3 linked regions of the Macaca fascicularis genome follow. The protein of the gene in region 1 interacts with the protein of each later gene in a pairwise test. Links are inferred from orthologs where the notes say so. Each region holds a gene or a part of one and is shown in the gene's direction. Other genes may lie near its edges.

Region 1 (3,659 bases):
CTCCTAAAACAAACATCAGCGATAATTTTAGTTGTATCTACCACGTAGTTAAACTCTGTGATCAGAAAGACTAAAGCATAAATGAGGGAAAAGTTATGAGTGGGAGGAGGTGTCAAAAAAAAGGAGGAAAAAGTCAACAGTCAAAAAGAAAGATTTATTTGACTTTGAGAGCATCTTTCAGTATGATTCTGTTAGAGTCAGTTATCCAGATGGACAGGCTCCTTTTTATAGTTAGACCTTGTCCATTTGACAAGGAGCTGTCTGAAATATTGGCTCCAACTAGTCAGGTATGTTTTGCTTTTTTCGTGACCCTAGTCATTATGAAAGTGATACTTAGAAGTGACTCACCTTTTCTTTACTATTCAGTTATTATAGCCTAGTGTGCAGCTGTTTATTCTGAGCAGGGCGTGGTTTGGCTTATTAAATCTAAAACCTTAGAGTTGTTTGATTCACTGAAATTACAAGGTGTTTTTATTGTTGTTGGTTTTGTCCATTGAGGCCTACATGTGAGTATTCTGTATAATGCAACAATTTGTGCTTATTTACATACTTCTAGTCTATTACTAATTTTGCTAGAAACAATAAATGTGTTTTTTGGATATTGTATATACATAAACATTTATACTTAAAACTTTTGAAGAAAATGTTCTATTCTGAAAATGCAGGAAATTATGTCTGAGAGAATTTCTTCACTTTATATCTTAAAGTTGACCCTTTTCCCTCTCTTTGTAATTGTAGCAGGAGGAAGCAGAATGGGAAAGCATAAATGTGCTATTGATGATGCATGGCTTAAAACCTTTGTCTCTAGTCAAAAGAACAGATCTCAAAGGTAATTAGATCCTATTCTTGCTGCTTAAGTTAAAAAGAATTTTTCCTTAAAAATTTTTTTATCTTAGGGCCGGGCGCGGTGGCTCAAGCCTGTAATCCCAGCACTTTGGGAGGCCGAGACGGGCGGATCACGAGGTCAGGAGATCGAGACCATCCTGGCTAACACGGTGAAACCCCATCTCTACTAAAAAATACAAAAAACTAGCCGGGCGAAGTGGCGGGCGCCTGTGGTCCCAGCTACTCGGGAGGCTGAGGCAGGAGAATGGCGTAAACCCGGGAGGTGGAGCTTGCAGTGAGCTGAGATCCGGCCACTGCACTCCAGCCTGGGCGACAGAGCCAGACTCAGTCTCAAAAAAAAAAAAAAAAAAAAAAAAAAAAATTTATCTTAAATCTTTTGCCTTTTATTTTTACTATCTGTATTACATACTTTTTAAAATGTAGATCTCATCATTTTTGACAAGCAGTCATCACAAAGGATGAGACAGAATTTGAAATTGTTGGTGGAAGAAACATCACGTCAACAGAACATGATACAGGAGCTTATAGAAACTAATCAGCAGCTTAGGTAAGAAAATGGAAAATATTTCTTTTGAATTGTTTGTATGCATTCTAAAAATAACTGCATTGAAAACAATCTTGAAATTTAATTTCCCATTTTGATTAAATATTAAACTAAAAAATATTTTTGGCTGGGCGCGGTGGCTCAAGCCTGTAATCCCAGCACTTTGGGAGGCCGAGACGGGCGGATCACGAGGTCAGGAGATCGAGACCATCCTGGCTAACACGGTGAAACCCCGTCTCTACTAAAAAAAAAATACAAAACACTAGCCGGGCGAGGTGGCGGGCGCCTGTAGTCCCAGCTACGTGGGAGGCTGAGGCAGGAGAATGGCGTGAACCCGGGAGGCGGAGCTTACAGTGAGCTGAGATCCGGCCACTGCACTCCAGCCTGGGTCACAGAGCGAGACTCCGTCTCAAAAAAAAGAAAAAAAATATTTTTTTTTGTAGGTAAAATTTTAATAGGTAAATCTTTTGGTAATAGCTTAGCATGTATGTTTAATGGTACCCTATATTTCTTCTATTAGTTTCTGTTGCAGGATGAGCATCTCAAATCTGAAAATTTGAAAGGCTCCAAAATTTGAAACTTTTTGAGCACCAACATGATGCTTAAAGGAAATGCTTATTGGAGCATTTTGGATTTCGGATTTTCAGATTTGAGATACTTAACTAGTAAGTATGATGCAAATATTCCAAAGTCTGAAAAATCTGAAATATGAATCACTTCTGATTCCAAGCATTTTGGATAAAGAGAATGCAAAGAAACTTTAGAAAGTCAATATGTTGTTATATGGATATGTTTGGTAATTTGATTTATTTTTAATACTAAGGGAAGAAATTGTACGTCTTTTAACTTAGAAATGAACTTCAGCTAGAGCACAGCCGAGCAACCAATCAAGAACAACGAGCTAATGACTTGGAACAAATTATGGAGAGTGTGAAATCCAAAATTGGTGAATTGGAGGATGAATCACTAAATAGGGCTTGCCAGCAACAGAATAAAATAAAAGATCTTCAAAAGGAGCAGAAAACTTTACAGGTACTGAGTTATCAATTCCTAGATGATGGTTAGTTAGTACTAAAACAGCTCATTATGGCCCCAGGTGACTTCCATGTTGTTTGATTCAGTGGTTTTTACCTTTTCTGGCCTATCACTGCTACCTTGAAATTTTCTTCACTTGATTTCTAGAATGTCCTCTTTGTTTCCCTCTGACCTCACTGATCATTCTCTAATTTCTTTTGCTGTTTTTTTCCCCTCATCTCCCTAGCCTCTTAGTGTTGGAATTCCCCAGTGCTCAGTCTTTGGATCTTTTCTCTTTCCTATACACTTTGATTCCTTTGGTAATCTCAATCTAATATAGGATCCAAAATTTATATCTGTAGCCCTGTCCTCTCCCCGAATTCCAGACTCATATCCAGTTGCCTACTTGATATCTCTACTGGATATCTAATAGGCATCTACAACTTTATTTACTTTTTTGAGTCAGCGTCTGGCTCTGTCACCCAGGTTGGAGTGCAGTGGCGCAATCACAGCCCAGTGCAACCTCTGCCTCCTGCACTCAGGTGATCCTTCCACCTCAGCCTCTGGAGTAGCTGGGACTACAGGCATATGCCACCATGCCTGGCTAATTTTTATATTTTTTATAGAGACAGGCTTTTGCCATGTTACCTAGGCTGGTCTCAAACTCCTGAGCTCAAGTGATGCGCCTGCCTCGGCCTCCCAAAGTGCTGGGATTACAGGTGTGGGGCACTGCACCTGGCTGGCATCTACAACTTTTTATGTCTAAAACAGAAATGGCAATTTTATGACATTAAATAATTAAGCTTTCTAATTTTAAAAACTTAAAACGTGGGTGTTTATTGTGATTAAAGGAAATGAGTCTTGTGCTGGTAACTAATGTTTAGTTGTGTGAGATGTTTCTGATCTTTACCAACATTATATCATTATAAACATTAAGTTCTTATTTTAGTGGTTTTGCTGACACAACACTATATATATAACCTTTGCATATGTGAGTTCAGGCTATCTAAAAGGGAGCAGTATTCATCAGGCAGGGTCTGGAAGTCCCCTCAGTGTATGCTGGCAGTATTGGAAGGATCAGATGAGTTAGTATAAATTCCATGGAGTCCAAGAGAATTAACCAGAGATACTAGGGAGCTCTAGTATGAGGATAGAGGCAGTTGGTGCTCTGACCTTGTTTATGTGCCAGCTTGGGGCAGGCAGTACTAGAGCTGCTGATATTGATCATAGTTTCGGAGAAGACATTGTTTGACAA
Region 2 (3,324 bases), on another chromosome or scaffold:
CCTGTAATCCCGGCTACTCAGAGGCTGAGGCAGGACAATCGCTTGAATCCAGGAGGCAGAAGTTGCAGTGTTCCGAGATTGTGCCACTGCACTCCAGCCTGGGCAACAAAGTGAGACTCTGTCTCTAAATAAATAACTGAGATGTAAGTGTATTTCACCATCGAATATTTTTTATTTGTTTTGAGAGACAGACTCTGTCACCCAGGCTGGGCTGCTGTGGCATGATCATAGCTCACAGAAGCCTTGAACTCTTGGTGTCAAGCAATCCTCCTGCCTCAGCCTCCCAAGTAGCTGGGACTACACACTTGCACAAGCACACTTGGCTGATCTTTTAATTCTAAGGGCATTATTAAAATGTTTGTTCTTCCTTATCTGAGAATTGAAGTATGTCAGAAGCAAGACTTTTCTTTCCATTTCATTATAGTAGAAATGCACAAATTAGGAGGTATGTTTTAGACATTACATGTGTTGATGTGACGCAAAAGCTCTAATGAGCTGCCTTACCCTGGAACGTTTTTCTTAGCTTGGATTTGCTTTGTTGGAGGGATTAAGAAAAGACTTGGCCAGGAGCGGTGATTCATGCCTGTAATCTCAGCACTTTGGGAGGCTGAGGCAGGTGGATCATGAGGCCAGGAGATGGAGACCATCCTGGCTAACATGGTGAAATCCCATCTCTAGTAAAAATACAAAAAAAAATTAGCTGAGCGTGGTGGCAGGCACCTGTAGTCCCAGCTACTTGGGAGGCTGAGGCAGGAGAATGGCGTAAACCTGGGAGGCAGAACTTGGCAGTGAGCCGAGATCTCACCTTAAAGACTTGAGGCCAGAAAAAAACAAGTCTACGGAGTTTTCATTAGGCCATTTAACTGCTAGTTGAAAACTGGGATATCCAGTTTACATAGCATATAGCTTATTCCTCTAATTTTTATTTGGGTCCTTAATAAAATAGACCAGCTGTCTTGAAGTTTGAACATTCCTTCTGTTTCACAATCTGTTCTCAAATGGACATTTGATTGCACATTCTAAGTATTCATTTACCTGGCAAAAATTTCAGGTGAGCTTAACAATACTGTCAGCTTTTTGTATAACATTTATAAAAGAAGTGAATTCAGAACATTGCTCATTCAAAACTCAGCATTAATACAATCTATGGAGTAGATGTTTATTAAATGACCCTCAAATGTAGTATTTAGTAATTATTTTTCTACCATTCATAATAGTTAATCACTGTATCCTATAACTTATTGTGATGTGATTTTTGCTGCTCAGCCTCCCGAGTAGTGGGGATTACAGGTGCCTGCTACCGCATTTGGCTGATGTTTGTATTTTTAGTAGAGACGGGGTTTCACCATCTTGGCCAGGCTGGTCTCAAACTCCTGACCTCGTGAGCCACCACGCCCGGCAAGGCCAACAGTTTATTAAGAAGATAAACAGATATGAACAAGTATAGATTAATAGAAAATAGCCTTAACTGTCTCACATCTTTCCTGTCTTAATTTGATCAAAAATTGCTAGGAAGCAAAAAAAAAAAAGCAAAAACCAAACCAGATTACTTAGGGAGTCCTAAGTAATCTAAGTAGTAACAGAGCTTGAGGGGAATTTAAACAGAGGCATTTTTATTTCATTTAAATCTTACTGTCAACTATTCTTAACAGGCTAAAGGTTGGTCTTCAGGTTGTGGCAGTCAAGGCTCCAGGGTTTGGTGACAATAGAAAGAACCAGCTTAAAGATATGGCTATTGCTACTGGTGGTGCAGTAAGTAAAATAAATGCGATAATGGTTTGCTGAATGTTTATACTTGTCTGAAATTTATAGATAGTTTAACATTTTTCACAATTAGATACTACAGCTATCTGTTTCTGTTGGCTCTTTGGAAGGTAGGGGTTGGATTAAATTCCCTTTAATTAGCTACGAGGCCACGAGTCTGGCCTAAGAATGGGCTTTTATTGACTATTCTATATTCACTAAATCTTACTGACTGAATAAGGGGTTTCTTTTTTTTTTTTTTTTTTTTTTTTTTTGAGACAGGGTGTCTTGATCTGTCACCCAGGCTGGAATGCAGTGGCACAATCTTGGCTCACTGCAACCTGCGCCTCCCGGGTTCAAGCAATCCTCCTGTCTCAGCCTCCCAAGTAGCTGGGACTACAGGTGCAGTACCATGCCCAGCTAATTTTTTTACTTTTAGTAATGGTGGGTCTCACTATGTTGCCTAGGCTTCTCAAACTCCTGGACTCAAGCAATATGCCTGCCTCTGCCTCCCAAAGTCCTGGGATCTGTTTTCAGTTTTGAAAGATAAAAGTGTGTGCTACAAATGATGTAGGACTTGAGAGTCAAGGCCTATGGTCTTGTCCTGGCTCTACCAGTAAGTGTGACCTTGGATGTTTTTTTCTCAAGTAAGGCTAATAATAATTACCAGAGTTGGGAGAATTGAGAAGTTGGAAATGCAATGGAAGACTATACTCAAGTCTTGTTCTGGACTAACAATGATCTTACAGTCTCTCATTTCAAAGAATATTTCAAGATGATTCTCTTGCCTGGTATATTAATAAACTTGGTATAATGGTAGAAACTGTAACCTACAGCTGGTTTACGTTTAACTCATTTTGTAGGTGTTTGGAGAAGAGGGGTTGACCATAAATGTTGAAGACGTTCAGCCTCATGACTTAGGAAAAGTTGGAGAGGTCATTGTGACCAAAGATGATGCCATGCTCTTAAAAGGAAAGGGTGACAAGGTTAAAATTGAAAAACGTATTCAAGAAATCATTGAGCAGTTAGATGTCACAACTAGTGAATATGAAAAGGAAAAACTGAATGAACGGCTAGCAAAACTTTCAGATGGAGTAGCTGTGCTGAAGGTAAGATTCATTATTATGAATAAGTTTTTTGGGTTCTGAGTCCAAGAATGATTGTCCTTCTGTAGTATTCCCCAGTAGTACCATGGAACTAAACAAATATTTGAGGAATTAATAGTGGAATTTTGTTTTGTTTTGTGGGTTTTGTTTTTTTTTTTTTTTTTTTTTTGAGACAGAGTCTTGCTCTGTCGCTCAGGCTGGAGTGCAGTGGCTGGATCTCAGCTCACTGCAAGCTCCGCCTCCCGGGTTTACGCCATTCTCCTGCCTCAGCCTCCTGAGTAGCTGGGACTACAGGCGCCCGCCACCACGCCTGGCTGGTTTTTGTGTAATTTTTTTTAGTAGAGATGGGGTTTCACCGTGTTAGCCAGGATGGTCTCAATCTCCTGACCTCATGATCCGCCCGTCTCGGCCTCCCAAAGTGCTGGGATTACAGGCTTGAGCCACTGCGCCCGGCCTTGTTTTGTTTTAAGCCCTC
Region 3 (2,364 bases), on another chromosome or scaffold:
CTCTTAAAAAAATACAAAATAAAGAAGTTCTCTTTATCCTGTGAAAGCTTTCTGTGACCCAAGAAAGGTTTAGAATCACTGTTTTAAGAGATTCTTATCCCATAAGGTATTTATATTGAATCTCAAAAAGCATTCACATCTCACATCCTCTGTGATAGGCTCCTAATTCATATTTATCAAGGTCCTAAATAAGTATCTAATTACTCTGCTGTGGGATGTTGTATATTTCTTCAGATCCGGGCTCGAAATCCAGCATTTCAGCCACAAACTTTGATGGACTTTGGCTCGGGTACTGGTTCTGTCACCTGGTGAGTAACTTTTTTCAGCCCTGTCTTGGTCAATTTTAGCTCTAGAAAGCCATACTTACACCACTCAAAAATTAAGAGACTGGAAAACCAGAGGGAGAATAGGCAAGTTGGGAATCTATAATGTTTCTTCCATCAGATTGGGCAAGGCAGAAGAAGGTATATGGATTGGGGCCAGAACTTAAAGAAATGTCAAGTGAAAAAAAGGCGCATGTTTAGAAAAATTAAAAAGAAAAGGAATTATCAATCAAAGTTTTTTTGCCTACAAATAGTATTTTGAGTCTACCTTTATTTTTCTCTTTTTGGAGATGGTGTCTCGCTCTGTCACCCAGGCTGGAGTGCAGTGACACGATCTCGGCTCACTGCAGCCTCCACTCCCGGGTTCAAGTGATTCTCCTGCCTCCGCCTCCCAAAGTGCTGGGATTACAAGCATGAGCCCCTGCACCCAGCTGAGTCTACCTTTTTTTAAAAACAATTGTAAATAAAACAAGAAAATAACACTATTAGTTATTTTATTACTAACTAGACAACTATTTTAACATAACACTCTCTTTTCCCAGGGGTGGGGTTGGGTGTAAATGGGTCTCTTGTAGAGATGACTCTTGGTCATGGGAATTGGTGATTTATAATAATTTTGCCATCTTAGGGCTGCTAACAGTATTTGGGGCCAGAGCCTACGTGAATATATGTGTGTGGACAAATCAACTGCCATGCTGGCTTTGGCAGAAAAACTACTGAAAGGTGAGTACAAGAGCATTTCCAAAGTTGAGGGAGTTCAGAAAGCAAAGGGGTACTAGTAAAAGTGTTTTACTGGGAAGTAGAGAAGAGGGTAAAAATTAAGATGAATCTGGTTTACTTTTAAAGTTATGGTCAAGCAAAGGGCGGTATTAGAGGTTTCTGCTGGACTGAGGATGGGTTGGGTAAGATTCAAAGGACAAGAGGCCTAATATTCTCCCTGCCGTTTTTTTTTTTTGTTTTGTTTTTTGTTTGTTTTTAATTAGAACCTGTTACCCAGGCTGGTCTCAAACTCCTGGCCTCAAGCCATCCTCCCACTTCATCCTCTGGGGTAGCTGGGATTACAGGCATGCACCACCATATCTGGCTCATCCCTGCCCTTTTTGATAGACACTTTCCCTATTCTTGGGGCCATGTTTCTTATCTGGATATCTCTTCAGTTTATACCTAACTTCCTACACACTCAAAGTTGCCTCTTCTTTTCTCCACAGGTGGTTCAGAATCTGGGGAGCCTTATATTCCAGGTGTCTTTTTCAGACAGTTTCTACCTGTATCACCCAAGGCAAGTGGCAGTGTTTAGAATATTCTAAATGTGGAATGTGGCAGATGGAAAACTATGGCTTGAGCTTTGCAGCCCAGCACTGAGTGTCAGAAGATAAAAGAAATTTATCAGCTAGGACTTTATTATATTCTTGGGATGCAGAGATGTTGAGTGTGTCATGTTCTTTGTCTTGGTCCTCAGGTGCAGTTTGATGTAGTAGTATCAGCCTTTTCCTTAAGTGAACTGCCCAGCAGGGCTGACCGCACTGAGGTGGTTCAAACCTTATGGCGTAAGACAGGTCATTTCCTGGTGAGTTAAAATTCCTTGTTCTCCTTAAGTCTTAAAGCAGCTTCATGGATTTCATGCCTTTGCTTCTCTCGTTGTCTTCATTCTTCACCATTTTTCTCCTTTATGGGTTTCTTTATCCCTCTTTGAGGGTCTCCATCCTGATATATAATGCGTATTTCTTTTTAGGACCCCTTTTCCATCTATAATGCTTTTACAGAGCTACTGACATTTACACTTTCATGTAATTTAAGTCTTCATATTTTTCCCTTTTGTGAATAGGTACTGGTGGAGAATGGAACAAAAGCTGGGCACAGACTTCTCATGGAAGCCAGGGATCTGGTCCTTAAGGTAAGGCTTCTTCCCTCACTCCCCCACGCATATGTCACTAATTACTGTTATTCTTTTGAAAACTAAAGAGACTGTCATATATTGACAAGGGTGACTCTCAGGAAACTGGGCATATAAAGTCATTATGAATCAGAGCAGTGGTTGGCA

Evidence for each region.
Region 2: the proteins of CEP70 (region 1) and HSPD1 interact in binary tests that used the Homo sapiens proteins (3 or more experiments, as listed by UniProt). The two-hybrid records come from large-scale screens. The link is inferred for Macaca fascicularis from reciprocal best matches to the Homo sapiens genes CEP70 and HSPD1.
Region 3: the proteins of CEP70 (region 1) and METTL17 interact in binary tests that used the Homo sapiens proteins (3 or more experiments, as listed by UniProt). The link is inferred for Macaca fascicularis from reciprocal best matches to the Homo sapiens genes CEP70 and METTL17.

The regions. Positions count from the first base shown.
Region 1 is NC_088376.1:41,405,689-41,409,347, reverse strand, and holds part of CEP70 (centrosomal protein of 70 kDa), read left to right. Parts: intron 1-738; coding exon 739-829; intron 830-1,269; coding exon 1,270-1,393; intron 1,394-2,241; coding exon 2,242-2,422; intron 2,423-3,659.
Region 2 is NC_088386.1:93,105,879-93,109,202, reverse strand, and holds part of HSPD1 (60 kDa heat shock protein, mitochondrial), read left to right. Parts: intron 1-1,652; coding exon 1,653-1,752; intron 1,753-2,606; coding exon 2,607-2,852; intron 2,853-3,324. UniProt on the Homo sapiens protein: Chaperonin implicated in mitochondrial protein import and macromolecular assembly. Together with Hsp10, facilitates the correct folding of imported proteins.
Region 3 is NC_088381.1:88,659,255-88,661,618, forward strand, and holds part of METTL17 (ribosome assembly protein METTL17, mitochondrial), read left to right. Parts: intron 1-234; coding exon 235-308; intron 309-951; coding exon 952-1,046; intron 1,047-1,531; coding exon 1,532-1,602; intron 1,603-1,782; coding exon 1,783-1,890; intron 1,891-2,148; coding exon 2,149-2,217; intron 2,218-2,364. UniProt on the Homo sapiens protein: Mitochondrial ribosome (mitoribosome) assembly factor. Binds at the interface of the head and body domains of the mitochondrial small ribosomal subunit (mt-SSU), occluding the mRNA channel and preventing compaction of the head domain towards the body.